Drosophila melanogaster: one gene and its partner. The protein of the gene in region 1 interacts with the protein of each later gene in a pairwise test. Each region holds a gene or a part of one and is shown on either strand. Other genes may lie near its edges. The genes, in order: EndoB and CG2157.

Region 1 (16,996 bases):
GAGCCATTAACGAAATAATTTATCAATTAAGATGCCAGCGAATCGCACATAATGATGTGACATATTCAGAGATCCCTTGGCCCACTGCCCTGTTGGCTATTTCCGTTGGAAATCTATCAAGCGTCTAAAAATATTCACATGAACAGTCGCCCAAAGCCAAACACAAAATGCATCGAAAGACTTTGTCTGTGTGTTTTTTGTATTCATTTATTTTTACCTTTTTTTTCGTAGGAATAAATTATTATTAGATTGATTTTTGGTTGTGCTTGCTTGCGCATTTTAACTAAATTTATCTATTTAAATATAAATTCTGTTTATGAACCCCTTTCACTCTGCGGCAGACAGGCGTTTGGTGGGGTAAATATTTTTAGCAACAAAACAGAGTAATAAAATGGGAGGCGTTAGACAGAAAAATAAATCTAGCCGCGGGGAGGAATATTTGGAAATTCGAAATGCCGCAAGGCAATCATTTGTTGCCAGGCCAACGGAGCTACACATTCCACAGTCAGCAAATCGATTGATCAGCTTTTCTTCTCTCTATCTACTTCAGCTCGTGCCGCCACTATCGAGCGTCAGAAGCAGCGTCGCGACAAGCTGGCCAATGCACTGAGGGACAACAAGAAGCGCCTGCTCGTCCTGGAGCAGGAGATCAACATCCTGACTGAGCCGGTGCCGGTGGGGGAATCTGAAAGACTGGATAGAGATATCAAGCAACTGACTGAGGACTGTAATCGGCTGCTTGACTGCTTAAATGGTAAGGATGATTGCAAAGTATATCGGTTTTTCTATGCTGACTCTGCCCCTCTTATATCCACAGAACCGCAGGCGAATGGCCCTGGTCCGGCGGCCAATCCCACGAACCGCCAGCACCTGTTACCAGCCAGCAATGCTTCACAGCAGCAGCCGCAGCAACAGCCACAGCCATTCCCGCGTCAGCGTCAAAGTGCTCGCGTCCAGGCGCCGCCCAGTTCACTACGTCTGCACTCGGTGCCGGCAGCACCCATCTCCCAGCCGGTGCAGGACTTTGGGCAGCACCACAGCAGTGCTCCCACCTCGGCCTGTTTAACGCCCCAGATGCAGAGTCAACAGCAACTGTTACAGCTGCAGCAGGAGCCGCCACCGACGTACGCCCAGTACTATCAGTTCCAGCAATATCTGCAGCAGCAGCGACAGCAGCAGTTACAACAGCAGATGCAGCAGCAACAGCAGCTACAACACCAGATGCAGCAGCAACAGCAGCCGCAGCCACAACAGGAGGAAGAATTCCTGTCCGACTCCGATGTGGATGAGGAGGAGGAGACGCTGGACTCGTGGGCCTGCAACATGTGTACATTCCGCAACCATCCACAGCTAAATATTTGTGAGGCCTGTGAGAACGTTAGGATCCAGCCGGGTATGATACGCATTGTTCCCAGTGGAGGCGGGGCCGCTGCTGCTGCTGCCACGCCACCCGGCAGCATTGAGCAGCAACAGCAGCCGTCCCAGCAGCCGTACGCTCTGCATACATAACCCAAAAAGCTGCACCAAACGATAACAAAGTTCTCTTATCGTGCATGAGCTAGCTCCTGACTGTTGTTCTTGCATGCTCGACTTTGAAACTGTGATAGCATTTAAACTAGTAGGCGGCAGGTTCATTATCCACTGCATGGCTCCACCTGAAAGACATGTGCGAAACGAAAACAACAGCGAACGGAAACGAATTGCTTAAGCGCGGCCTTTTTAAATTATTTTAACATATTCGATTTATGTATGTACATTAAATGCAATCGCCTCAGCCTCAGGCCGTTTAATTTAACAATATCCTCTAACCGTTAAACTAGCATTAAGCCAACGAGAAACAGAGTTTATTATTTTTAGCCCGCTCAAAAGTAAATAAAGAACGTTATTTAAATATTTACACAAGCTTCGCAAGTTGTTGCTTTACACGTTTTATTGGTAAAAAGCAAAAATACATGTGTCTGGGCTTTGGCCAAATGTTTACTTTTAGCCCCTGTTCTGAGCCGTGAGGACATACATATAACGCTATCGCCGGGCGAAAATCGTAAGTAGATAAATAAATAATTGCCCAACTGGATTAATTGATCATCTTCGATGTGCAGGTATTATACACTCCTGGATTCTATCATGACAGTCGGCCAAACGCTCACCATGAGAACATAGACAGCTCCAGCTCCAGAGATACATATCTGAATTCTGCAACTGAATTTCGCTTTAGTCTACGGTAACTTATCCTAAGGAATTGTAAAAAGATTTGAGGAACTATTCTATTTAGCAAAAATGCTGCTGGCAGCAATTAATTTATTATCGATACTAGATAAGAAAAGACTTTAAGCAACGTCGCATCAACTGAAACTAGATATTATTAATTGTAATGGAAAACCGTGTACATTTTGTAAATATTTATTTAACTGAACAGAAATGAGTTAGGATTTAGAAAGAAAAGGTCAACCGACAAGGGAACTTTTGTAAGCTTTTCAAAAGCCGCATATTTATCGACATTAAACTGCAGTTTAAGAGCGTCATTTGTGTTTTAATTTGGAGTTGGGGGCAGTTAGTATTTATCAACAGCGGTAAATTATTAACTATTTGCAATATACAGCAGGATTGATAATAATATTACTCCAAAACCATTTCTTTAATCTTCTTCATCAGATGGATCAGATTTATAATATCTGGTTCAAAATGCTTCTCTTCCACATCCAGATCGAGATTTAAGTTAGGTTCAAATACATTTTGTATTTCTAAAAACGCTTCCAGAGATTTGAAAACAAAGAGAATTGAAGATGCTAAACGATTTTTGGATAAGTTCTATACAATACAAAAATTCTCAAAAGCAGTAACAGTTATATAAAACAAGTAATACGACTAAAAACACTCCCCCAGAAACTTTTCGAAATTTAAAAAACTCTTTAAGTGATTTGGAAACCAACTGAATTTAATATGCCAAACGATGAATACTCCGGTACTCGGTGCTCTGAGGAAATATACCAGATTTGGACTGCGCAAGTCGCGGTGATGACGTCGTCGTGGGTGATCGGGAATGTGGGCACACTGCAGACTCTCGGTCCAAAGGGCGATTTACCAAACAATTTCGAAACTATGTGGAGGCACACGATCCAAAGTACCAGGTACCTGGCAGGAAACGCCTCGCTTTGCAGGCAAATAGCGACGCACAGTCCCAAACTGGGGGCGGAAAGCAATCGCAGCAAGGAAAAGGCAAGTGAGAATGAGTCCTTTATGGCCAACATCTTCCGTGGATCACTGGTGTCAAGCCAAGTGTTCCCGTATCCGGATGTCCTGACCGCGGAGCAGAAGGAGCTGACCAACAGCCTGATAGATCCGTTCGAGCGTTTCTTCTCCGATGTCAATGACGCTGCCCGCAACGATGCCAACTCTAAAATAGATGACACCACTTCGACGGCTCTGTGGGAGCTCGGGGCCTTCGGAATCCAAGTGCCATCTGAATTCGGTGGCCTCGGTCTGAACAATACCCAGTACGGCAGGCTGTGCGCCATTGTGGGTGTCAACGATCTGGGACTGGGCATCACGATTGGCGCCCATCAGAGTATTGGCTTCAAGGGAATACTGCTGTACGGCACCCCCGAGCAGAAGGAGAAGTACCTGCCCAAGGTGGCCGCCGAGCAGGTGTACGCTGCCTTTGCCCTTACGGAACCCAGCTCCGGATCTGATGCGGGTTCCATTCGATGCCGTGCCGTGAAGAGTGCCGATGGAAAGCACTACGTCCTTAATGGCTCAAAAATCTGGATTTCCAATGGCGGAATTGCCGAAATTATGACCGTTTTCGCACAGACCGAGCAGGTGGACCCGAAGACTGGCGAGAAGAAGGACAAGGTCACTGCCTTCATTGTGGAACGATCCTTCGGAGGTGTAACCAATGGACCACCGGAGAAGAAAATGGGCATCAAGGCATCGAACACGGCCGAAGTGTATTTCGAAGATGTAAAGATTCCAATTGAAAATGTGCTCGGCAAGGAAGGTGATGGATTCAAGGTTGCCATGAACATATTGAACAACGGTCGGTTTGGAATGGGCGCCACGCTATCGGGAACAATGAAGAAATGCATCGAACAGGCCACCGAGCATGCCAACAATCGAGTTCAGTTTGGTCAAAAACTAAAGAACTATGGATCCATCCAAGAGAAATTGGCTCAGATGAACATTCTGCAGTACGCCACGGAGTCGATGGCGTTTACTATTTCACAAAACATGGATGCCGGCAGCAAGGACTATCACTTGGAAGCCGCCATCTCGAAGATCTATGCTTCGGAGAGCGCGTGGTATGTTTGCGACGAGGCTATACAAATTCTGGGCGGCATGGGATACATGGTGGATAATGGATTGGAACGAGTCCTGCGTGACCTGCGCATTTTCCGCATATTCGAGGGCACCAATGACATTCTCCGGCTGTTCATTGCCCTGACTGGCATTCAATATGCGGGATCCCACCTTAAGGAACTGCAGCGCGCATTCAAGAATCCCTCGGCCAATTTGGGACTGATTTTCAAAGAGGCCTCCAGGCGGGCGGCCTCCACTGTCGGCTTGGGCGGCACCGATCTGAGTGGCCACGTAGTGGGTGAACTCTTGCCTTATGCCAAAAAAACGGCCCATTGTATTGATCTTTTTGGACAATCGGTGGAAGAACTATTGCTGCGATACAACAAAAACATAGTTAACGAACAAATTTTGCTAACACGACTGGCAAATGCAGCCATTGATATTTATGCAATGGTTGTGACGCAATCGCGATCATCCCGTGCAGTCAATCTGAATCTGCCAACTGCACAACACGAGCTCAACATGACCAAGGCACTCACTATTCAGGCATCTGATCGAGTGATTAAGAATCTACAGGCTGCCACATCCAGTCATCATAGGTCTCTCAATGAGAAGATTTCCACCATCGCCAAGACCACTTTGGAAAATGGCGGTGTGACTACGACTGGAATCTTGGATCAAAACTAGACCAATATACTTTTATACGAATTTTAAGCCCTTGATTGTTAACCTAGTATGAATGCCAATAAAGTCTTGTAAATAATAATCGCTGAAGTCTAAAGTTCACCTCGCTCTCACATACGAAATCTCTCTAAAGTGATTATGCACTATCATTGAACAAATGAGTAACAAATACTTGATCATCTATAAATGAACTCAGATAATAGAACTCTTGAAATCAAATCACCTCTATTCCTTTTACGTAGAAAAGCTCACAAATATAATTTAAAGCACTTACCATCTCGATCTGATTTTCAAAGCTGGACGGGCAATCTAATGAAATACAAAATAAATCGAACTTAATTTGGTTTTGTTGTTTTAATTTTGATCATATATTTGTAATTATGTAGTATAATAGTTGGTGTTTAAAAATTCGCTTTTCATATTACAACATTGTTTGTTTGCTGAAAACCTAAAAATCATCGTTGTTTACTTTTTAATTATTGTATTGTACGTTTTCAACAATATTTATCTGTTATTTTTTAGCTATCAAGCGCCTTGGTGTTTCAAAGTTTTGCCTTAAATGTAACAAGCAATATTCTTTTAATTGACTTTCAAAAATTGCACGAAAAATTTGGTAACATAATAATTGCAGCAAATATATTAGATAATAATTGGAAACGCCTTCGCTGAATATATAGATAATAGGATTAACAATTTCATACTTACGTTTATAATTATAGGATATATAGTAAAGCACAGAGAATTTCGCTTGTTAACTAAGATATTGACAAACATAACACATATATAATACTTTTTCGAGTGTAGAGAAGCTTAATAAAACAGCACTTTCTCTTTAGATATGCGATTAGATTTAACAATCATAATGTTTGGAATTGCATAAATTTACATGTATAACTTGACGGTTTTTCAGGCAGCCAGAATGCATATTTGATTACAGCGTGATCTGTGCAACGGAGTAGCGTAGCTCTTTGGGCATGGATCTGGGTTTGATTATTACCGAAGGCTAATCTACAATGCTTTTACTAACCAACACGCTCATGTATGTATATTATGCCTTGTATATATTTATGTATGTATATTCTAATAAATTATTGTACTCTCTTGCTAGTGCCAAATGCCGCTTTGGCCGCATCCTTTAATTGTCCAATTGCCGTTCCCTTCTCTCGATCGTGTCTGCTTTCTTAACATATGAGTATTGCCGTACTTGGAGTATTTTCTTGTTCATTAATTTTGCTTGAGATTATTGAATGATTGATTATTGCTGAACAAATTGCTGGAGGGCTTAGAGGGTGACATCGTGCTCTTCGTCGAGCATTTCAACAAATGCGCGTGGCACCAGACCCTTCAATAGACCCTGTTTTCCGTACATGTAATCCTCGTTTACTGGTGAGCACTCCGTCACGAAGATCACCTGAAAAATGAGTTATATATAAGCATTGCTTAGGATATTATTTGTTCTTTACTTTACCTCATTGGCGCTCAAATTAAGCTCGGTGTGATCCTTGGCGTCGTAGGAGCAAAGGACGCGTGCCCTCTGCATCTGATCCGTGCTGACGTGCATGGGCTGATTAGGCTTGTGGCCGGTGGCAGCCATATTGGCAGAGTGATTGTTGCCAGGACCACGGGCTGCGGCTCCGGACGATATGTTGGACTTGCTGGCACTGGCCTCGTTCACGTCGAGCGGAATGTATGGCGTGGGGCCTCCCAAGCTGATGGAAGATGCAGAGTTTAATGAGTTTTTGATTCGATTTGATAGCGAGCTCTAAATGGAGAGATGAGCTGCTGAAACCTGACTTTACAAAGTGCAACAACTACCGATAACAGCAACCTATCTAGTACGTATGATTTGAAATTAAATGCTAATGTTAACTGGGCATGGAATCCGATTCGATATGAAGATCACAATAACAAGACCCCTAAACTGTGGAGACGGCTGTCGTATCGAATTCTATGTGAAAGTCTTCGAGCAGATTCGTAAGCGACTTGTCCAAATCGGGATCTGGATCGCTATCTAGGGCTATCCCCCCTAATGAATCGGAATCACAAGAATGCATCGACACCGAGCTGGGAGGCCCACAATCAACGTCTTCGCTATTGATACGCAGGCGTGGCTTGGGATGCTGCATTCTGTAAGACCACAAGCAGATATCATAACGCACAGTGAGACCACCAGAAGGGACCACGGGTTTCATCAAGGATGGGACATGGTGTTTTGGTGTGCAAGAAAAGATTCGTTTGGTGCCTACGTGGAAGTCACAGTCATTCTCTATCGATCGCCTACTACTTACTTGGCCAGTTCACGCTGCAGCTGCTCCATGACATCGCCGCACTGCTTGTAGTAGCGCACTTGCGTCTGGATGAAGGCGTGCAAGTGGCGCAAATGAGATGCCTGCGATGTGCTGATCCCGTCCAGCAGCAGCTTGGTAATCTCCGCCTGCCGGTCGAACTCGGCCTGAGCCACCCGCAAGTCCCGTTCCGCCTAGAAAAAATCGCAATTAGAAATTGGCTCATTGATTAGCCATAAATCTAGAGCACGAGCTCGGTCAAGGTTTTGATACCTGTTCCAAGACGGCCTCTGGCGAGATGCCATCTTTCTAAAAATTCCGGGCAGCAGAGGGCAGAAAAAGACCGTGAGTGAAAAAGCCATTACGAAACCCAATCAATCATACCCCCTTGCAATAAGGAAACCCCATCAAATCCCACCCACTTACCGATTGCTGACCCAGCATGCTGCGCGCTTTCTTCACCCTGTTCTTGCAGGCGTCCAGATCCAGGCGCTTGGTCTCCAGGATGCCTCGCTCCTTGCCAATTGTCTTCATTTCGCCGTCTAGGAACTTGCGCAACGGCTGTGTAAAGCAAATGCCCGAGGTGGCTATAAAGTCGTGCTCGCACTGGCCCAGTTTCTGTTCCGCTTGGCCGACCTTGATCAGAGCCTGACCATAGGGTAAATCCTGCCCGAAATCGCCCCCAGCCTCGATCATGTCCAGAGCCAGGTGCTCTAGGTTGCTCAACCTTTTTGGCTTCGACTTTTCAATCTTCTCGAAGATGAAGTCTTCGACCCGGTTCTGAGGATTGGGTATCAGCACCGACTCTGTGTCGCGCACTATCTTCTCCGTCCATGTCTTGGTCACATCAGCCCGCTCGGCGAGATTCTGGAAGTGCAAGTCGTACTCGGTGCGCTCCGTGGTGCCCAGTTTCTCCTCCGTGAGCTGAAAAGGTCATTGAAAACAATGGAGAGCCGTTGAAAAGGGCAAAGAAACAACGAAAGTGCTTGAGATTGGTTTGGGGTACATCTGTCATTTGCCCAACCACCGAAAGTTCACCACCACCCGCTTTTTTTTCAGCCACCCAAATTCATTGATTTGTTCACCTGCACCACTCGTGATATTGTGCTGCCCGCCTCCTTCACCAGGTTCTTCACATTGAAATTCGGCAGATTTATATTCATTTTTGCCGAGAGGTTCGCTAATTAACACTGCCGTTGATAAAGTTTAAATTTAAATTCCGCTACACAGCCCAATTTGTTTGTATTTATTTCCTCTACTTCGTAGTGTGACCCATTGTTTCTCCCAGGAATATACCAAATATACCGAAGAATTCCAACTGGAACAGAGTTCTAATTGGAAATACTACTATTGAGTAAAATGTAAAATTGTATTAATTTTTAATTTATCATAGCTTTTTCTTCTTTATTCTTCATGTAAATGGTGAAACGAAATTTACTTCTATTAAACAAATGCCACGACATCAAAGTAGATAACAATTAAGCTGTCTGTTAGCAAATACATACCTACATACTATGTAAGCTAACAGTTTCGGTAAATCAAGTGTGGTGAGTATCTATATAGTAACGAAAGCTACTATGGCAAGCTTTAAAAAATGTGAACGTTTGTACAATATAACATAGTCAATTAATCATGATATGGATGAAAATCATTTTTCAACATTTAAACTAATTTTTACTTACCCTGCTTGCAGACCGTGCACCTTGTAATTAAACCCCCAAAATAAAACACGATTTGGAAAACATTTAAATTTAACTTTTCACATTTAATACACACTCATTAGACATATATTATCGGAGCGGAAAAATTAAAACATGCATTCAATTGATAACTTTTCACCACTCTGCTGCTTCTTACATTTATGGCTGACTTTCGCTTTTCCTTATACATCATATGACAATCTGTGCAAAATCGAGTGTGCTTTTATCACTTTCCTATATAGTTTTCGGCTCGAATTCATATTCATTCATGTTGAGCGAGAATAATACACAGAGTTCTGGACAAAAATCAATTACAGCTATATGTATATATTTTAACTATCTGTTATAGATCGGATATCTTACACACATGTTAGGATGCACGTATTATTTGGGGGTTTCCTTGAATGTTCCAAATCCGTTAAATTCCATTGTGCTGCAATTGTTGGTGATTATAATACTTAATGGACATTTATAATACATTTAATGGACATCTAGATTGTTATGGAATAGTTGTGTGATTTGCCCTACACTACTAGTGTTCACATTAATAGTTAAAAATCTACAAATTCTCGATCCGACCTCAATATTTGATACAGCAGGTCGCATTGCACACGTTAACAAAATGGTTTTGCTTAGGCTCTTGATTTAGTGGACCATGTGTAAAATCACATATTGCATTAATGTAAAACTACGCTGACATGAACCTAAAAGTAGCCCTTGTGTAAATCTAGTGTTTCTTTCGTATTTCTGCTATCTTTGATTAATTTTGAAATGGTCCCGACTAACTTGAGAAACCTAGGGCGTGCGGATTGTGGGTGCACGATGGGCTTCTTTGTTTAAAAAAATGGTTTTGTTTAACAATTACGGCATAATAATCCCTAGGTCTATTTAAGCAAAATTGCACAATGTGGTTAATATAGTTTCTGGTTTGCAATCGATCAATTATATTATGAACTTTTAATTCAATCAACATTCATGTGAATATTTATGCCATTTTAAAACGAGATTCAATGCCATTACAAATGTATAACTACACGTATATAATTAACAATAAGTTTCATTCGGCGGACAAGCGCCATATCTTCAAAAAATCAGTACAATTGGTATTCATTCGTCCACGAACAAGGGTAAAATATTATTTTCTCATTTTAAAAATTATTGCTTTTTATTTGGATTCCTTTGTATTACGATTTCTTTCAATCAAAAATATAACTAATTTATTCCAGTCGCCGTATTACAACGAGCATTCAAAATTATCCCAACTCATGCTTAGAGGAAAACGAAAGAGCATAAAAAACCAATTACAAATAATAGTTTTATATTTAGACAAACTATATACAATGATTAATGGAGGAAGTGACTAGCGTAAATTAAGACTAAAATTATACACAATATGTACAGTTGGGAATAATACCCCCGGTAGTAGTCGAGTCTGTTTCTTCTTTAACTTAGGATCTTGCATACTCTATAGGAAACTTGTGGGTTACACTTTGGATAATCTCTGTGCTTAGAGTACATGCAGATTCTCGCAGCTCTTCGACTTGGAGTCCCGAGTCCACACGCGGCCCAAAAGTCCCTTGACTTTCAGGCTGGTGGAGGTCCTTGATCCACGGTATTTGCGGGGACTGCAAAAGAGTAGGGTGCATCAGCATTACTGCCTGATTCTGATGGCCTGTCGGCGTGGCGATGACTCACCTGCTTTGGGCACTGCCCGGGGGCGTGGCCACCGCCTCCCCCAGCGGACCCAGAGGGGTATTGGCATTCAGGCATCCGGCATTCAGTGGCGAGCAGGCGCGTCTCTTTGACTTTCGAATCGAACGCTTTCGGAACAGATCCCTGTGGCAAGAAACATAATAAACATAAGTGAATAAAATAAAGACTACTTCTGAGTAGCTCTCGACGAACCTGGACTTTTCGGGATTCTCCAGCTTGAGTCGTATCTGTGATAACAGACCCACCAGCAGCTCGTCCACATTGTGATTAATGCCCACCGACGTCTCGATGAATTTACAATCGTAGGCGGTGGCCATGGCCTTGCCCTCTGTAATGAAAATGGCACGATGGAGAGGTTAAGTGAAAATGTGTAAAAATTATGGCCAAAAGCATCACATTCCAGCTTAGTTGCCCGCCCATCATCCCAGTTAATCAAATCGAATGGTCTCGCTTAGTTAACTCGGAGTTGGTCGTAAAACCTCATCCTCGGCTGGGATTTGTATCTAAACATGATGCGGGGAATCCCCATCCCATCCGTCACGTCTTGTCCACAGATGTGTACACAACTCGTAAAATCTGAAGCATCAAAGTTCGGTACACCATGCGTATGGTGACCCTCCTGGTGCAAATTTTATGACAGCCTCACATTTTTATTAACAATGTGACGAAAGTTACATATATTTATTTGATAGGCAGACCAGCCTTTTCCTGGGCGCTTAAAGACTTAAGCTCTTAACCTTCCGATTTTCGATTACAGATGAAATAGGATCCTAATTAAAGGTAAACAAAAGTTTTGCGACATCGGGCAATATTTACCCCAATTGAATAATTAGTGCGTCATTAGTATGCCAAAAAGTTATGAGGTGGAAATGGAAAATACATTAAATTTTCAAAAGGTTTTTTAGAGTCTGTGGAGTGGCAGAATCACCTGTGACGCACTTAGGTTTTATTCATATTTTTCCAATCAGCTTGACAATGTATAGATTTATGAATATATCTTTTATCCAGACATTTCTGGGCCAAGCGCTCATTTTATTATTGCCAGAGGCATACAAAATTCTATAAATACTTTATGAAATTAGGGCGTCGCATTAGGTGGACAGGAACTCTCCGCCCAAATTCAAGATTGTGCGTTGGATGTGGGCGTTGGGTAGTGGGTGGCGAATGTAGGTCCTGTTGTCGCCCTGTTTACAACAATAGGCTTATGGGCCTTAAGCCTTGAGCGGAACACATGCCACACGGGACGAAATGTAATCAATTTTGCGCTGAAACAATTTCCCTCCACTGCCATTTTACTGGCAGAACTGGGGAACCCTTCCAGTCACCACCCACCCTTACTTTCATAATAACAAACGTAATTTAACGGAAAATATTGAATTACTTAGATGAAAGCGCCCGAGTTACCTTGGTCTTAAAGGGAATCTGATATAAAAGTCAAGTGAAAGCACTTGAGTAGACAAAAAGGACCCCCGAAACTGTCGACCTTCAAGGGGGGGGGGGGGTGCGGAATCACCTCCACTTAAGATTCCGGCTGTTTGGGTAGGCGAACCGCCGGATGACTTCCGCTTGGCAAACTCTTCAGCTGACCCTGCACGACGGTTCTGTTTATACACTCGAACTATATATCGTTATGTTTATATATACTCGTATATCTATTCGTAACAGACCCAATCGAGCGCACTTTCCAGTGTTAATGGGGGAGGGGAAGATAACCGAAATCCTCCCACATATTTATTAGCATTATAACGTGTCGCTTACCTTCAGAGGTGACCAGTCGACTCCTGGCCAGGTCGGCCTTGTTCGATACTAGAATGACTGCCTTCTGGGCGATGTTCTGATTGGTCCAGAGCACCTGCAGCACCTGCTCCGCCACACTGAAGCTGCTCCTGTCCGCGGCCGAATAGATGACGCAGTAACCGTGCGGATCGTAGTTGGTCAGGCACTCATCCGGCTGTGAAAGGATGGAGAAATGGCAGTGACACCGAGGTGACATTGAGTGAGGTTGAGGGCTTTGCCAAAGTGTGATTTCCCGCTTCTGTGTGGGTAAGTTGATGGCCGTGCATGCTAATGGCATTATGAAATGTCACATATAGAGTGCAGGGCGCCGGATGGATGAGCAGGTATGTATGTATATATAATAGCACTGGTCACAATAATGGCAACAAGGCTTTGGAGGCTGCATAATAATGGGTGTTTCGAAAGCACCTAAGTCCATTAGAGAATCAATTTGTTTAAAGTGCACTATGAAAAGCACTTGCCTTTTATGCAAATAGATAGATGTTAAAAAAAAAAAATGTACAAAAAAAAACTAAAATTGTTTTCAAATATTTGAAATTTATTTCCATTTAAAAATGTATTGCTTTTAAATTATGCATATCCCTGCGTTATTGTGACCACTGTCCCATACCCTTGAGAGGATGATGAGTGTTTTGTAAGGTACTTACAGTCATTTCGGTGTATCCATGGTCGATGAAAATCAGCTCGGACTCTTCGCCACTGAGTAATACTGAAACGGCCTTCTCGCCGGACTCATCATCTGCACACATTGAAGGGGAAAATCGAGGTTAGCACCGATATATTAGCATGTGCGCCAAACTATACTCTTAAGTTCGATAGCTCAAATGTCAAGCAATGAAATGATTTACAACATCTATTCTCGAAAGTGCAGAAACAAAGAGTATGTGCAGGTGTTTTAGTTGGATGTTTTCTGTGATGGGCTTATCTACAAGTGTCGTCCACTGCATGCGAGTATCGAGTATTTGGATATATCCATTAGCCAAGTTGAATGAACACAGCTGCGGGGATTCACCGGATGTCCACACCGGACTGCCCCGAAATGTATGCTAATGTATGGGAAATTAAATTGGCCCCCACAAGTGTGCAACGAAATGGACGCGCAACATGGACTGGGCGAAAAAGTCGTCATCTGACCAAATGGGTAAATGGAAGGTGAAAGGAAGGTGGCTGGGTAAATGTGACTTTGTTTTGGTTGGACTGAGTGTTTTCACAATTATTATTCATTTAATGGGCTCTCTGTGCGCCTCTTTTTTAATTAAAAATGCTATAGCTATAGTTGAAGTTGTGGCATTTATAGTTTTGAATATATGGCACGACCATTATTCCGTTCCCATCCCCAGGTGGCAATCAATAATTGCAGAGCCCGGCATATCATTAATTAAATTTCATTAGTTGTGTTTGTGATGTGCATAATCATTTCAATCATATCGAATGCCTGCCCTCAAGGCTGCCGTCCATCGACTGGCTGGCTGGCCATAAATCACAAGCGAAACAATGGCAATCGATGGTGGAGCGGTCTATGGGACTATATATTATATGCTCTATATATTGGCTAGTTGGTGTTATATTTGTTTTTCGGTTTTTCGGTGGGGAGGGAGGAGTGTTCTAACTTCCGGGGCGTGGCTAGTGGGCGGAACCAGGTGTGTTTCGGAGTTTTTTTTATTAGCTTTCAAGCGCAGGGCTAATGCAATTGTGGATCAAGTGTTTGGCTAGTTTGTTGAGTTTGGTTAATTTAATTGGAGAGTCGAAAAGCGTTTCAATTAGGTGTATAGAGATATTTGAATAAATATTAAGTAGTAGCATAATTAACAAGGTTAATAATTATTTTGTTAAGTTGCTGGTTGCTTTTACCGTCGGCGGCTTTTTCAATTAGAATGCGTATATCACAGTTGCCTAGATCTGATTACAACCACAATTTGTTGTTGTATGTACAAAGATGTTGTTGTTAATTCGGTTGTTGTTGTTGAGTTTTTCGAGTTTTGTAGGGTCAGTTTTGAGACATTGAGTTGTATGATTGGTTGATATTCGGAATGGAGAGAAACAGAACAAATTATCATTGCTTTATAAAACAGTATGATACAATTGCGGATTTTCGTTATGAGGTTTTGTGTATTGGATAAGCATTTACACTGGGACCGTTTGCTATATTTGTATATATCTTAGGGAATTTGGATTTGATCACAAACAAAAATCGTTAAATATTGCACTAAAAATTTCCAACTAAGCGACGAACGACAAAATTATTTCCATTTAATTTTTCCATTCGCTGCCAACATTTATTGTTTTATGAATATTTTTTTCCCCCATATTTCCTTTGTGCCAATAGAAATGTTTATTCGAATCTTTTCATTGACTCCCAGCCAAAGAATGAAACAGTTTTCAGTTTTTTTTTTTTTTTCCATTCCTAGCTAGAGTCGCAAAAACCCAAAAAAAAGATCCGAATTTATTTTCATTGCAGCAGCGTTTGTTATGCTTTATGCCAATTTGTGTTGACCCATCGGGCGGTGGCAATAGCTCGGCGCTATCATAAAACGCCAAAAGCAAAAAGAAACCAAACAAAAAGCGGGGAGTACGAGTACAGAGCTATGGAATATAAACTTTCCGAACACGGAATCATAAAAAGCCATATGATACGGGGGCAAACAGACGGCACAGACACAGAGCAACGAAATCAGAAACAAATATAATAGCCAACATAATTATACAGCAAGGCAGCTACAACATCGACTAGGAAAACGGAGGTAGTGCCAACAAATGAATTATGAAATAATATCAAGTAAAGCCAAAGCACTCGCTCACAACCAGCAGACAGACATGGAATGACACGGTAGGATACAGGGGTTACTGGGGGTTATGCAGTGCTCTTGGGTGGGATGGAATCCGGAATACGGAATAGGGAATCCGGATGCAAGCATCTCCGGAGGGGCATGCTACAAACTCACCGATGCTCGTGTCGTAGGCGTGCAGGTACTCCGACGTCATGAACTGCGAGACGAGCGAACTCTTGCCCACCGCAGGACCTCCCAGCATCAGGACCCTGGAATGGTGAAATAAGAAAGCGGAAAAAGCCAATTAGTCAACCTCTTTATGTTACTATTGTATTATCCCAAGCGATCGAAGTCGATTGGCTCTTGTTTCTATTGTTATTTCAATGCTAATGAGGTGACTCTTGACCTTTTGATTGTTCCATTGAATTTTGTTTTCAAAAGGTTAGAGGGTAACGCATTTAAATATGAGCCGGACTTTCTGGTTAATGTATATATTCTGATTTACAATGCACGTTTAAATGGGCGGCATTGACTAATGACATGTATCTGATTCAGATTGAAACCCACAATTTGTTATGGCAAATAATATTTATTACCAATCTCAGTTTACGCATTTAATTATATTATGTTTAAAGCCTTAGTAGTCTTACAAAAAGTTTGCGAAATCAAAAATATGTAATAGCTTTCCCCGTAAAACGGACTCACCTGTAGGGACCGTTGCCCGGATTGGATGTACTGCTCTCCCTGCTGGAAGCCAGCGAAGTTCGAGCGGATACGGATGCGGGGGCGGAAAGCTGCTGCTGGGTGGTCAGGTGCTCCGTGCTGGAATTGGAACTGGCCACGCTGTTGTTGGAGCGACTGCGTCGGCTCTTGAGGGAATCACCGCGATTTACCACACCCTTGCCGGTGATCGAGAAGTGACGCAGTCTGTAGTACTCCTCCTCTACTCCTGTATTCGGCATGGAAGCCACCCTAAATCCAAGAGTAATTGGTTAAAACCATATAGACTAAACCGGATGTGGGACACCCACCTGGATCTCTGCTGGGGCAGACACAGCTGATTTGGCCTTCCGGATGCTCTGCTGCCGGGCATCTTCACCGATTGCGAGCGGCTGTGATGTGGTGAGCCATATCTGAAATCCGAACATGGTTGAACTTGTTAGTACCAAAAACCAAACTAGAAATGCGAGTCCTCTATGCACATCCTCGTGTTCTGTCACTCGGGGTTAAAAAAGGGAAGAAGTCAACGGCATACCAGTTGTAACCAAAACTGCAGTTGACAGCAGTTTAATGGAGATCAAGATATGCATTTCTTACCCGATGCCGCCACCAACAGTCGCTTCACTGCGTTCACCTGCCATGTCCTTGGAAACTGTGAATGCCAACAGGCCAAAGGACATATGCATAGTGTCCTTGGGCGTCGATACGAACTAACCACAAGCCAGAAATTGGAAAATATTGATAATTCTAGTGCCAAATCTCTTGAACAGACCGACAACTAATGAAATGCAATTCAATGCAATGCAGCATCGTTTGTGGAATATTTAAAATATTTAAAACCTCATTTATGACAATCAAATGCAGGAACTGCGTCCACGAGCAAGTCCGAAATGTTTGTTTATCCACTGATTTTTCACAGAAACAAAAACGGAAAAAAAAACTTTGCAAACTGGCAACAGGTCGTATGAGTAATTTGAAAAGTTATGAGCCCATCATGGATTTTTCTCGTTCGTTTTTTCCCATCGCCAGTTTG
Region 2 (15,454 bases), on another chromosome or scaffold:
TATTTTGTATTAAAAATTGTAGGTAAAAACTATTAAAATTACGTTTGTTCAGCGTTTTTTTTAACCATATTTAGCCCAAAAAGATCGCAAATCTAAATATATATTATGAACAGCTAATAAAAATAAAATAAATATATAAATTTTATAAAGATTTTTATAAAGCATGTGTAGGTAATCTTGTAAAATATATAGTGTATGCAAGGGCATTTGATCCTTCGGCCGCCGAAGCTAGCCTTACAATAATGTAGCTTACTGTAGCGATCCGAAAGCAAGAGAAATCCACAAACGAACTAAACTTTCTAGGAGAAACGCGCCGAGCAGCACAACACTTCGCCAGCCCGCGACGACCAGGAGGTGGCCGCCGGACAAGGATCTGCAGCGCCAACACCTGCAGCGTCAAAGCATCGGCCAACCGCATCAGCCGGCGAGCGCAAGGTGATCTCGCTGAAGCGTCGCGACGACCAGGATGCGAGCAGCGTACGCAGCAGGCAGGCACAGGGATCGCAGTCCAATGCTCAGGCAGGCCAAGGTCAGCAGCAGCAGCAGGCGGCGCGCAAGCAACTAACGGCGGCGAAGATAGCGCCAGAGGCAAAGCGCAGTATAACCGATCACCTGGCGCCATCCTCTAAGCAGCATCATCATCATCATCAGCAGCATCATCAGACTGCAGCGGCGCCGGCGAGAACGGTGGTATTGGGATCGGGAGCTGTGGCCGGCGGCACACCGCCGAAGCCGCGCGATAAGCTGCGCCTGGGCACGCCAAGCGACGATGAAGTGGAGCTGGACTATGATGACGATGACCTGCTGCTGGACGAGGAGGATCGTTTGTTGGCCACGCCATCGCCGCCGCCGCAGAAGGCGAGCAGCAAAAGATCGGCCACGCCGGAGCCCTTGGTGGTCAAGCGGAACCACAAGGCGATGCGTGGCGGCAGCTCGACATCAGCGCCCAGCTTTAGCTCCAACCAGCGGCGAGTGGTGCTCAAGCCGACCAGCAATGGCAGCAGCAGCAGCGGAGGAGATCAGCAGCAGTTGTCGCACAGCGGCAGGCAGCGGGATCGGAGGCGCGGTGGAGAGGATAGCGCACTGCAGCGGAAAGGTGGAGTAGGAAGCGTTGGCGGCAGCAGCAGCTCGGGATCTGGCGGAGGGATCTTCGATAGGCTGGAGAAGCGTGTGGCCGTCTCAGGAGGAGGGAGCAGCGGTGGAGGCGGCGGGAGCAGCCACAAGCAGCGATCCAAGGCGCCCGCCCGCATCGTACTCAAGCACGATTGATAAGAATATTTAGTTTAAGAATATATAGTTTTCTATAACTATTATCGATTATAGATGTACGACGATGATGGGGAGTAGTGCAGTAAGCAGTACTTTAGCTTTAAGGTAAAAAGTTATAAATAGTTGAGCTTTCTTTATAAATAGCGGATTATACATATATCTAGATGTCATGTAATTGGTGGGTGTGCGTGAGGGTCTCTACCCCGTGCTCCATGCGGTATGCAAATTCATTTAGCTTTAAGTGTACAAATCTTATCAATGACTAAAACGTGCTTCGTTTTCTTAATCGCTATTTGTATTTAAACGTAGGATAAAGTGGAATGCTTAAAGCTTGACCTGGACAACAAAACAATTACCGTATATAACTTTAGCAACACAAACTAGGACCCAAATGTGCATACTATGTGCATGCTCATAGCCCTTAGCCTATGTAATCAAGTGAAAAATATTTACACCTCTACATACATTTATATATATATACATAAAGTGTATATATTTATTTATAAATACTTCAATTTAGTTTTAAGCACAAAAGCTGAGCGTCTATTTTTTATGATGACAATTCTACAAAGATTTTATTGAAAGAAAGAGAAGTTAAGAAGTGCAAATGCTTCTTAGGAATTTACTTTAAATTTACCTTTAGTTATTTGAATTATTTTATACATTGTGCCCCGTTGATTGTAAATGAAATTTATTGTCTGTCCTGTTGTGTTCTTTGTAACTACTATAAACCACATACGAAACTATGTTAGCTTGTGAACTAGTTTAACTAATAAACTTGAAATATTGCAGCATGTAACGTACTTGTACACACAAAGCAATACCTTAATGGCCTGGAAAACGCAGACACATAGAATGCTACCGATAAACTGGTAATGCAAAATGATCAAACCATAAATTACAATGGCATAGTACATAGGATACCACATACCACTTACCATATAACACTTATCGCTCACTTAAAAAACTGGCCAGTTAAAGAGTAATCAGCGGAATGAAGTCTTCGTTGGTGAACCGCAGAATTGATGATGAGCAATGATGGATAATACCTAGTAATACTAAGTACTTGTACATAATACAATCGAACTATTCGGCTAGCCACATTTATGTAAACATACCACACACTTTCCTACGAAAGCTGAGAACATATTGTCCGATCTAGAACAACAGCCATAAACTTCACTTAGATTATTTGCGTCGAAGATAATGCGAAATGCCTAGACTAAAGAGATTGTTAAATTATTGCCACTCCCGCTCCCGAGAAATATAAATATATATATATATATATATATATATATATATACTTAAGTCATAGAGAGATCTGCAAGAACCATTGTAATTGGACAGTAAGCATTGTACTTTGCACACTATTGCAACACTCGAGAAACCCCAATTGTGTCGATAAGCTAATGAACGAATACGTTAATATGAGTCATTTTTATTGTAACTAAGCTAACTAGATAAAGAAAAGGTAGAGGTATATCGCAAATGCAGATGACATGAAATGTATGTACTAAAATCGCTCTATTAAAAACGCATCGAATCCGAATGCGGTACAAGCTTGACTTTTGCATTGATGTAAGTGGCACATTTATTCATGTGACAACAACACAAAGAGATACAAATGTAACTATCTATCTATTTATCTAATATGTGTGGCGAAGGTAATTGTTGAGGATGAAAAGGGGTCGCAACGCTAGAAAATGATAAGATTTAATGGGAAGCGCATAAAGAAATCGTATATGCCTAGGTATATACATACGTATAACTCTAGTAATCGTAATGCTACACACAATATGATATAATATATGGATTAATAAAAACCAATTATACCACGTGCACACATAAAAGCGTGCGGCAGCATAACTGTATAAACATCTAAAAATTATTCCAAGTGATTTTAGCTTTTTAAGAACCAAGTCGAAACAAACTGAACACTCGTAGTGGAAAACACGAAATAGCGCAAGCAAATGACAAAACAAAAATTGAAATGATTCCAATTTGCAAATCCGAGTCTGTGATTATTTTTATATTATTCTTATTATTATGCATATACATATATTACGATATATAACAACTATCCATTACGGCCCAACCCACAGATCACCAAAACATACTCGTAATAATTTTGTTTACCCACCCGATCGTTTTACCCCAAAAATTTCTTATTTTGTACACCCCAAACTACAAACCTAAAACTTTAAAATCAAATACTAGAATTAAGTGCTAGTTAAATCGGTTTGCGATCAGGCTCCAACGCTCCATTCTCAGTCAAATAGATTAGATTACTTGGGGATTCGTCATTTATGTGTGATATACCATATATATGTATAGTTTTTTGCGGGATCGGGAGTGGAGTGGAGTGTTTGGAGCGTTGCGATCAATGCCTATTTAGTGTATAAGTGCATTATATTTTCGGGGCACTAGTTTTCGATACTGGGCCCCACACACACACAAGACAACACCATCTAATATTCCCCGCATTTTCCCAGCTTTACATTTTCAGTTCGAATCGCCAATACATTTTACCTGTGTATAGTGTATAGTTAAGAACCGACTAGCAGAAATGCAAACACTATTCGATGTTAGTTATCTATATATGTACCTAGAAAGTTACTCTCTATGTGTGCACGAAACCTATCCGTAAATTTATTTATTATAATTTTAAGCATTTTGAACGATAATATCTCTGTTTCTACACGCCCAAAAATTTTTGATTTGTTAGTCCTAGACAAATAGTTTGATTTTGTTATAGTTTGTAACTTAACTTTTTTCCTCCCCTTATTGTTTATGCCCCTGTTATCACGCCAAACTACTGTTCCTAACCCAATCCAATTCCCCATCACGTGTTATACCCATCATTTAAAACTAACCTAAAAATGTCAATTGGAACTTTTTTCGATGGCGAACGCAACTGTACCCCCAATGTTCCTTATTCCATAACATTCCCTAGTCCTCTATCTCGCTCTCTGACAACTATCTCTCTCTCTCTCTCTCTCGCTGACACCTATATCTATCTCTGACCATCGCAATAGCTGTGTCTCTGTCTCGCGCGTGCACATGCATTAGAGCAGAGCAGAGATACCCAGATATTAACTTAATTGTAATCATATATAAAACCTATACCTAATTTTCTTTCAGCACTATTCTTTGTACAAATCGAAAGAAAAAATTGACAAAAAAGAACGTACAAAAAAATCAAATCAAATGAAACGAAAAGAATGACAACAACTTAAAAACCAAAAAATTAAAAAAAAAAAAAAAAATGAGAAAAAAGGAATGAATAAATTACAGAAAGTAGTTAGATTGGGCGAGGTGCCATTTGACGAGGGAAGCTCCGCGGGCAGCTCGCCAAAGAACTTTTGAAGAAGACTAAATAAACTGATATATACATGAGAATACATGATATATATAGAGACCCAGTCCTGTATATATTTGTATATGTATATTTTTTACAGCATTCAAACCGAAAATGCATTTTGAATGGGTTGATTCTGATTGGAATGGGTTGATTCTACAACTTTGCCCCTGGCATTGTCTCTCTAGCTGCGATTTATGTGTGCCTCGTTCGTCTGGGGATTTATGGATATGTCATGCATCTTCAAACTATTTTCATTGTTTTTTTTTCGCATTCAATCGAAGTGAATGAGAACTGGAACTCATCGCTGGCGACATCGAATCTAGTTATTCACGAGACGCGTCTAATCAATTGCAGATGATTCATTTCGAGAGCCGAACCCCATTCATCTCCCCAACCTTGATATGCATATGTAACTCAATTGGTGCTATTTTCATGGACTGCGCTGTAGAGTAGGCAATAGTAATTGAATCGCACTCTGAAGACAAACTGAAAGTATCCTGATAGAGAGTTGCATTATCTGCAGTGGAGCAATAATAGACAAGGTGTATATTATTTACCATTATTTAAGTATTTAGGTCAAGGTCGCTTGGAGCTTGGGGATACGATCCATTATGGGGGTGGTGGTCACCGCTTGAGCGAGGGACTTGACTTTGTCGTTTGGCCAGTCGCACAATGCACATGGATGGATAATCGTGTGAAGTATTCTTGGTCTTGGCTGATGGTAATATGCAATTATGCAAAGTGCAAGTTCAGCGGAAAAGGCCATGGTTTTGTTTTGCTTTGTTGTGGATTTGTTGTCGCCACACCATTGTCTCCAGGTCTGAGATTAGCTAAGGTAGCCACCCAGATGCAGCCCACTTCGACCCACTGCCACCCCAAAGTTCCCATCATCATCATCATCGTCGTCATCATAGTCAGCATCATCATAATTTTCAGCTTCATTTGCTCGATGTACCTTGCTTGCGGTTTTTTTTTTTTTAAAGCTGCATTTGGATCGCTTTAGTTTTCAGTTTTTCTGCTTTCAGTTAACCAAGCCGCTCTGTTCAATTATAATTAAATCTGTTTGTAAATATAATTGGTGGGCGTGCGACTGGCATGAATGATGCAAGATTGCTGCCACCGTCGAGCGTGATTTGCTTTTGCAAATTAGAACAACGAATCATGGCAACGCCCCGGGGAAAATGTTACCTGTCTAATCTGGGATTTGGTTCTTCCCTTCGAATGCACTGCGAAAAACAGGTGCGTATACTTCAATGGAAAAGATACAACATGAACTGAGTGATATACAAAGATAGAAAAACTCTTGAATACAATAATGGATTAGAATGGTCTTAAAATTCTGAGATGAAATATGCAACTTAAATGATATTTGAAAAAATCACTATACTAGTTTTGCTCCACATTTTTTTATGCTTTTAACTGGCTCTATCTCAACTGACAAAGTTCTAAATCTGATTTTTGCACCGTGCTTGCTTTTCCTTGATTACTCATACGCCCCGTGTGCGCGGGTTGGCCAAGAAATGGAGGCTACCACTTACCGCGAGATTCACGGGCTGCCCGTGTAATGGGCTTTTAGGCCTCGGCATTAAAGAACCATTGTCTCAGTGGGGTAAGAGCACAAGAAAAGAAAAAAAAAAACGAGAAACTCCCAGGCCATCGCCAAAGTGCACCCATGGCCAAGTCAACTCATAGCAGTCGGCAGTAGCTTCGGTTGCCTCCCTCCATCCATCCCTCCATCTATCCATCCATCCCTCCAACCATCTATCCATCCATACAGTCAGTCGAATCAGTTAACACTTTTCACATGCCCGCCGGGTCGAACAATGTGAACCCACTCATATGGGCGGTATGACAAGCGTATGTATATACTATGTGGCTATCCACAAGCATGGCATCGACAACTATTTTGACATATTTCGTAAATATCCGTGGATAAGTATCGCAATGCTATTGGCACACGTAACTTCAACTGCACAGATACAAGCTACAGTTTTGCAGTTTTGGAAAATGGCAAACGGATATAGATCGTTATGTTCTTAAATGCTACTTTATTATTCAAACACTTGCTAAAGTTATTATTAAAGTTATTTGAAACATCTGAGTACTTTTTAGTTTCTTGTACTAAACTCTATAGATTAAATGTACTTAAATGTGGAATACCCCTGAATTTATGCTAAAACTATCGCCCAGATTGGTAGAACCTAATTCAGTCCATTCAACCCAATCGAAGTTACGACTCCAATCCGTTAGGTTTTTTAGAAAATGTGTCAGCAATGTTGGTTGGAATGGGGATACTTAGCTTAGGCACTTGGCCAAAAAGCCTCTAAGAAATTAACAATTGCCACCTTTGTTGGCGAAATTCAAGCATTCAGATCCGCCTGGCTCTTCTTCTCTGCGATGTTTTGTTAACAATTTCAGTTGGCTTAAATAAGCGCTGGAAAGTGAAAACCCAATTCGATACTGTTGTTCATGAAATGAGTCACGTACTAGCCGCAATATTTATCTATCTAACTAAATCGTTTCAACTGGACTCGCATGATTGCTGTTACGTTTTTTTTTTAAACTTTGTTTTCAAAGCTGCAATCGTTGGGCATTTTCGCGTTTTATGTTGACCAATTAGCTGTTTCAGGGTCAAGTTAATGATTCAATTAGCATTTGTCATCATTGTTATTGCTTCTCCTGAGCGGCGGCGGTATAATTGATCCCCCAGATCGTGGGAATATTCATAATGATGTGTGATCACACATCAACACGCCCAACCAGCTTTTCATAAGTAGATCATTCGAAAGGTATTGTTTTCTTCAAGAAAAGAGTTAAGATTATAAATATGTATTTAATATACAATATTAGCAATCTAAGTTGATCCAGAGTTGTTCCATAAATGGGTTAAGTAGAGCTCATCTGATTCTGGAAACTATCTAATCCAGGATATAAATTCAATCTAATATGTTTGATGATTAAGCCAAGACCCATCAGCATACACGTTGTCCAGTGGCATGCGTCATACATACATAGGTGGCAAGCAAGGCGACACGAATCTCTGGGATGCAACAGTTGCGTCCAACTTCGCGGCTCGAGTTCGCTGGGATTGGAAGTGGGCTCGGCGGGTATAAAAGCGACTGCCGGCCCGGTGGGGAATCATTAGACAAGTGTCGAACGGCGCGTGCGCATCATAGTCTTGAAGGAGCAGTTAGCCACCAGAAAGCAGTGAACACCACAAACCGGCAGCCACAACATGAAGTGCTTTGTAAGGACTCGCCAAAGGATCTCTCGTGGATTATAATTTCCCAAAAACTAGAAAATGATTTAAAAAACACAGTTCGTTAAAGTGAATAATAAGTTTTGAAAGCATTGTATTCCAAATGCTTGATGTTCATTGTTAAATTATAAAGTGTATTTAAATTTTAGTTTAAAGTTGATACATATTTTTTACATTTTTTTTATTACATTTTTGAATATGTTTTATGTTGCTTTTGAGAATTTGTTAAACAAAATACTATTGTTAAAAAGTACTTTTCACTTTATTGAAATATGTTTTAAGTGGTAATCTTTTGAATATGATACATTTTGGTGACGCTTTATCCTCGCGCAGTTTATCCTGATAGCAACCAGTCTGGTGCTGAGTGCCTATGCCCAGGACGCGGCGGATTCTGACCTGGAGCAGGTGGCATCCGCATCGGCACCGGATGCGGTGGCCGTGGAGGATCAGGTGAGCGCCGCCAGCAGCTATGCCCCGCTGCAGGATAAGAAGCAGGAGAAGCGCTATGTTGGTGGATACGGTGGCTACGGAGCGGGCTACGGCGCGGGATACGGCGGCTATGGCGCCGGATATGGCGCAGGATACGGCGGCTATGCCTCTGGCCTGGGAGCCGGCTATGGAGGAGCGTACGGCAGTGGCGTCGGCGTTGGCGTGGACAGCTACTACAATCCGTACAGCTCGCGAGCTCTGGGTGGATTAGGTGAGGGTGAGCTTGAAAGAAGACTCTCAATCTCTTGCCGAAGACTCGTAGTATACCAACGCTGTTTCTCAATCCCCAGATGGTGCTGCAGTGGCCGGATACGGAGGCTATGGATCCACTCTGGGCGGCTATGGATCCGCTTTGGGTGGCTATGGATCCGCTCTTGGTGGCTATGGATCGGGACTTAGTGGTTATGGTGGCTCCTACAACTCGAATCCATACGCCCTGTCATACTACAACAGCAGGCTGGGCGCTGGAGCCGGCACTGGGTATCCGTACTACAACACCCGATTCGGCGCTGGTGGCTATCCATCCAGTTACTATACGAGCAACTATGGCAACAGCGTGGTGGGCGGCGGCTTGGGCGCTTTGGGCGGAGTGCCGCCCATCGGATCGGGCTATAACTACGGTTCCGGAATCTCGGGAACCGTCTACTAGACACCGCACGGTCCAACGTTCAAGATCTAAGCTAGTGGAATTTATTTTTTTTCATCGATATATTTTTTTCTAACTTTATTTTTATTAAAAGATGCTACAAAAAAATACATTATCATAATCGTCATTTAACTAGAAAGTATATATTTATATATGCATGTAATCTCATTGGGGCGATGGATATGCGCCATGCTTGTCCTTGATCACCCAGAAGGAGTCGACAATGGCGCCGTTCTGGTCATCGGACACCTGCTCGAAGTGAAGATGCGTGCCATTATGTGCCTTCAAGCGGGTGTATCCGTAATCCTAAAGAGATTATAGAATTATAGTATTCCGTTTTGATATTAAGCAGGTCATTCAATTACATTGCTATGGTAGGCATTCCAGATGGGCAAATCGTTGGAGAAGGGCTCGCGCTCCTCCTTGCAGCCGGCGGAACCCGTGATGATCTGGATGGGCGCCTTGGGATTAGTGTATGGCGCCTCGGCACTGCCATTGTACACCTTGTAGTCGTAGATTGGCCACAGGCGAGTGTAGAAGTGTTCATGCGCAAAGATCTCCACGTCGACGCCGTGCTTGTAGAACAGATCCTCCAGGCCGAACCACTTGAGCATGGGCAGACCCTGGCGAATGTACGTCTCCAGTTGGCTATTGCAATCGTACTCCTTGTCGTCGCTGCAGTACATCGGTCGATGACCGTAGGTGATGATCCACGGACGTTTGGCCCGATTCTCGGGCAGATTGGCCTCGGCCAGGTCACGTTCCAGCCACTCGAATTGCTTGGTCAGCAACTTGAAGCCATAGCTGAGGAAGTAGTAGACCTCCGTGGAGAAGGAGACAAAGTGCACGGGTCCCAAGTTGAAGCTGTACCACAAGCTGTCCGTTTCGCCGGGCATATTGAAGCGGGCGCGATAGTTGGAGAAGTTGCTGTGATGGGCCAAAGTAAGTTAGGTTTGAATAGTTAACACACCGGCATCATCAAATACTTACTACTTCTCCTCGTGATTGCCCGGACAAACCATGTAGGGCACATAGGCAGCCACCGACTCGATCTGGCGCATGAATGCATCACCCACGGCAGCGTTGGAGGTGTCCATGTCGTAGGCAAAGTCACCCACATGGATGATGGCATCGTACATGCCTCGCTCAGTGTCCTGCTGTAGTCGGCCCATCGACTGGGCATTCTCGTTGCCCATGTCACCGAAAATGGCCAACGAGGGCGACCACTTCTCACCCGCCGGTGGCGTCTTGAAATTGAACACCGCCGACCAACCGAGCGGACTGCCGCAGCTGTACTCGTACCGCGTGTCCGGCTCCAGATCCTTCAGTTCCACATTGTGTATGTACTGAGTGCGAGCCTTCTTTCCACCATCGACGAATCGCTGCCAGGTGCCGTTCACCATTATCGGCTCGTCTTTTAGATAGTTCCGCGAGAATTTAACCACCGAGGCGTTGGGGGAACTTCGAGTCGACCATGTCACCACAATATCACGAAGATTGTCTACAACAAAGTTCATTAGCTGGGATTATTCTCACTTTTAAAGACCCAATTTATATTTAAAACCATCTCGTTTTAAAAACAGTTTCCCCTCGAATTTCGTACTTAAGACTATAGAATCAGTAGGCCACAATCATTGCCACTCATACATAGTTGTTTTATTTGAGCGTATAACTGTAATTACATTTCATTAAAATATATATGTTTAGAAGGAGGATAGTTTCTTGGTCCGATTGCTGCGAATATAAATCATTCGAATTTGTGCCCGAATTTAAAATACTTTAGTATATGACGACATAAAATATCACAAAGTTTTTGAGTTGAGATCAGACTGGTACGGTCCATGCTTGTCCTTGACCACCCAGAAACTATCGATGACCTCGCCCTTCTTGTCATCGGACACCTGCTCGAAATGTAGATGGGTGCCGTTGTGGGCCTTCAGTCGAAGATACCCAAAGTCCTGGCTGTGGAAGGCACTCCACGGAGGCATGCGCTTGAAGAATGGCTCCCTGCCCTCGTGATTGCCGGCAGCTCCCGAAATGATGTGTATTGGTGCACCGGGATTCACATACGGCTCGGCCAGCGATCCATTGAACACGGTGTAGTTGTACATGGGCCACATCCGCTCGTAGCAGTGCTCGTGTGCCCACAATTCAATATCTACGCCGTACTGATAAAAGAGTGGCTCCAGCCCGAAGAAATCCAGCATGGGCAGACCCTTTCGAACGATTGTCTCATGATTGGCACAGTCATCTCCGTTGTCATTGCTGCAGTACATGGGCCGATGGCCGTATGTGATAATCCAGGGACGCTTCTTCCGGTTTTCTGGCTTGTTGGCCTCGATCAAATCCCGCTCCAGCCAGTCGTACTGCATCACGATCTGCTTGATCCCGAACTTAGTGAAATAATAGACTTCTGTGCTAAAACCGATGAAGTGCACCGGTCCAAGATCGAAGCTATAGAACATGTTATCCGATCCACCCGGCATGCTGAACCGATTGATGTAGTGCGAAAAGTTGCTATGGGTTGAAAGGGAAAAGTCCTTATATCAGTCATCATCATTATCATCATCGCAATTGGCTTGTGGTGTAGCACTTACTACTTCTCCTCGTGGTTGCCCACGCACACCATATATGGTAAGTAGGCGGCTATGGTCTCCACCTGGCGCATAAACTCGTCGCCGACCTCTCCGTTTTCCCAGTCCATGTCGTAGGCGAAGTCTCCCACATGGATGATGGCGTCGTACTGGCCGCTCTGCGTTTCACGCTGCAGCGCTGGAAGGGATGCCGCATTCACCACGCCCATATCGCCGTAGATCGCCAACGAGGGCGACCAGTCGGCGTGATCGAATCGCGTCCGAAACCAATAGGTGGCGGACCAGCCCAACTCACTGCCACAGTGGTAGAGATAGGTGCTATTCGGTTTCAGGTGGGACAGCGTCACCTGCATTCGGATGGGTTCATGGATTAGATGCCTTCGTTTGCGACTCTTGCTGCGTCGTTACTCACACGATGTATATACTGGGTGGCCTTTTTGGCTCCACCATCCACGAATTTCGTGGGCATTTGCGTCGCCTTCACTCGCTGATGCAGTCCATCGATGCCGAACTCACAGATTGATTCGTTGGTGTTGTCGCGCGTGTTCCAGGTGACGACAATGTCGAGCACGGTTTCTGCACAAGCACACTGATTAACTAGGAGCTTAACACTGAGCATGTCACATATTTACAACACTTGTCTACAAGATGAAGTCAACTATTAATGGATTCACTCACAAACCATTTGATTGATCGTTGAATTCTCAATTGAGTTGTTCCCAGTTTTATGATATTGAATTGTTTTATCCCAAAACAATAAGCACAATGAAAAGTTCAAGACATTTATTGTAAAGATACTAGGCATTTAAACAACAATCAGTGTACAATCGGATTGCCGTGACTATAATAAACCCGGTAATCGGATTTCATGTACTTATTGATAATAAAAACCGATCGGGTGCATATCCATTAGTCCTTTAACATTGATCCTAATAAGTATATCAAGTACATCCCATACACATTAAAAACAATTTGCTTAAGACAGCAGTTACCGAGTACCAGTTTTTGAACATCAAGTAACATGCGACAGAGATAAGAAACTAAGTTCATTTACGTTCTTATCAGCTTATGTTAAATGCACACTTAAAAGCGCTTGCATATGTGTAAATGCTGCGTTTGTTAAATTGGCTAAGTATAAAACTGTAGTTTGTTTCGGGCTGGGTTGAGATATTTGGATAAGGAATGTGCCACGCTTATTGCTATAGTTTGTGATCGAATCAGGTCGAGGCGAATGTGCGCTACTAATACTGCCTGTTGCTATTGATGCGTGTAATGCCTCGAGAGACTCCTTTAGCTTGAATTGATTCGGCTCAGGTTATGGTTCAGATTGGGAATGACTATTTAGTTTCGGTAGCTTCCATGCTTGGATTTCACCAACCAAAAGTCATCGATGATGGCGCCGTTCTTGTCGTCGGACACCTGCTCGAAATGGATATGTGTTCGATTGTGAGCCTTGAGCCGTGTGTAACCATAGTCCTGGCTGTGAAAAGCGCTCCATTCGGGTATTTTGCCCTTGAATGGTTCTCTTCCCTCCTTGCAGCCGGCGGATCCTGTGACGATGTGCACAGGGGCACTAGGATCATTGTACGGCGAATCCTTCAGCGTTCCATTGCGCACCTTGTAATCGTAAATGGGCCAGAGTCTCTCGTAGGAGTGCTCGTGCGCCCAAATGGCCACGTCCACGCCGAACTCGTAAAGCAGCGGCTCCAATCCGAACATGTGTACAAATGGCCAGCCCACCCGCGTGAGAGTCTCTGAGTGGGTGCAGTCATTGTCGTTCTCGTTGCTGCAGTACATGGGTCGATGACCGTACAAGATGATCCACGGACGCTTGTTCCGATTCTCTGGCAGATTGGCCTTGGCCAGATCCTCACGCAACCATTCGAACTGGAATACCAGCGGCTTTAAACCATAGTTGAGAAAGTAGTAGACCTCCGTGCTAATGCCCACGAAGTGCACGGGTCCCAGATCGAAGCTGTAGAACATGTTCTCCGTACCTCCCGGCATACTGAAGCGGGCACGATAGTTCGAGAAGTTGCTGCAACACCAACAATTAGATCCTGCTTCTACCAAAAAACACTCTACTCTCTGCTCTACTAGCTACTCACAACTTCTCCTCGTGATTGCCGGGAACCACCATGTATGGCAGGTAGGCAGCCACCGTTTCGATCTGCCGCATAAACTCATCCCCCACGCGAGCATTCTTCGTGTTCATGTCGTAGGCGAAGTCACCCACATGGATGATGGCATCGTACATGCCGCGCTGCGTCTCCTGCTGCAATCGGGCCAGGGATTGGGCATTCTCATTGCCCATATCCCCGTAGATAGCCAGCGATGGCGACCAGTCAACGGATGCCGAGGGCACTGTGCGAAACTGGAAGATGGCCGACCAGCCAAAATCGCTACCGCAATGGTAAGAGTATGTGGCATTTGGCTCCAGGTCCCTAAGCGTCACCTAAGCAAAGTAAACAATAAGTTTTTCTCTCTCTTTCTGGTACATCAACTGCGATGTCAAGGTGGATCGATTGATTGTTAAGAGATGGAGTGCAAGCAGTCCTGGCTCATTGGTTCTTAATTTGGTTCTAAGAGCCGGATTCAAGGTTGCATTCCTCTTACATTCTCACATCAATCTACTTGAATCGTTTGATCGGTTGCATACTCTATGCATACCCTGTGGATGAACTGCGTGGCCTGCTTGTGACCGCCGTCCACGAATTTAGTAGCCTTTCCCCGGGCCTGTTGGGTGAGCCTGACCTGTCCGTCTACCAGTTGACCGTACTCCACCACGCTGACCGCACCCACTTCCTGATCCGGCGGCAGGCTGCGCGTGGACCAAGTGACGACTATCTCGCTATCGGTGCGTTCTGCTTCAGAGGACAAGCGGATATCGAGAAACGGGGAAGAGTAAAAGAAAAACAAACTTGAGCAATTTCGTTGGTCCAATGTTGGTACGTTTCAAATGAAAGGAAAACAAACAATTAGCCCCCATCCGGCATCTAATATCATTTAGATTTGGCATTAATACTGATTACTAAACATGAAAATGTATAGATTTATAGTATAATATAAACAATGAACTCGAATTCCAGATTTGCCACGATAATGATTCGCATAATTAAAGTTGATTGAAACAAGTGCTACTTGGTTACTTTAATGAATAACTTCAATCCCATTAGCATCGCTTGTGCCAAATTGAATTTGAATCTGTAACGGGTGCAGGGTCGTCCAGTCATTCATGACCAAATGTTATTGTCCAATAAAACCCTGATATTTTTGCTTTGCAGCGACGCTCCATTGTTTGCTTCATCCTTATCGCCAACCCAACAGAAACTAGAAACTAGAACACAAAGCCAAATGGCCGGTGGGATGACGATCGACCGTATCGGCAAATATGAGGCCCCACAGGGAGCCAAAGTCTATCAATCTTTGGGTTGCATTTCAGGGTTTTGAAGTTTGCAATGCCCGCGTTGTCGTAGACAACAGTGGAACCCCAATATGGCGGAATAATGCTATTTTTTTTGGGGGGGAATCACCTGATTACAAAAAAGACTGGCCGAGCGGCTGACGTTTTTAATCTTGTTCAGTTTTTCGCCAATCGCACTACACAGCGATTAATTTTAGCATTGTGCACGAACACATTCACAGTGGCATACTTAAATTGTTTGTTAATGTTTTTGTGTTTGACCTGCCACCTCATCAGGCCTTAAATAAGCTTGAATTTATTGCTGCTTCCAAAAATTCGGAATTAGATGTTATCAGTTTTGGAGTTTTATGGGACTTTCGATTATTAATATAAAGCTATATTTATACAATATTTGGGGAAACCTTAGGTATTA

Evidence for each region.
Region 2: the proteins of EndoB (region 1) and CG2157 interact in a two-hybrid assay, tested with the Drosophila melanogaster proteins (one large-scale study listed by BioGRID).

The regions. Positions count from the first base shown.
Region 1 is NT_033778.4:19,302,125-19,319,120, forward strand, and holds EndoB (endophilin B), read right to left. Parts: upstream 8,542-16,996; 5' UTR 8,429-8,541; coding exon 8,351-8,428; intron 8,190-8,350; coding exon 7,692-8,189; intron 7,575-7,691; coding exon 7,539-7,574; intron 7,460-7,538; coding exon 7,269-7,459; intron 7,108-7,268; coding exon of another isoform or gene 6,903-7,107; intron 6,690-6,902; coding exon 6,449-6,689; intron 6,392-6,448; coding exon 6,263-6,391; 3' UTR 5,323-6,262; downstream 1-5,322. Other genes in the region: Tab2 (TAK1-associated binding protein 2), read left to right, coding at 551-754, 818-1,509; Acadvl (Acyl-CoA dehydrogenase very long chain), read left to right, coding at 3,100-4,983; Rgk1 (Rad, Gem/Kir family member 1), read right to left, coding at 10,473-10,590, 10,661-10,801, 10,871-11,006, 12,437-12,629, 13,123-13,214, 15,418-15,512, 15,949-16,215, 16,275-16,376.
Region 2 is NC_004354.4:10,861,515-10,876,968, forward strand, and holds CG2157 (uncharacterized protein), read left to right. Parts: upstream 1-7,769; 5' UTR 7,770-7,865; coding exon 7,866-7,877; intron 7,878-8,222; coding exon 8,223-8,595; intron 8,596-8,668; coding exon 8,669-9,027; 3' UTR 9,028-9,189; downstream 9,190-15,454. Other genes in the region: CG2186 (uncharacterized protein), read left to right, coding at 304-1,269; CG1637 (uncharacterized protein), read right to left, coding at 12,960-13,656, 13,727-14,073, 14,289-14,485.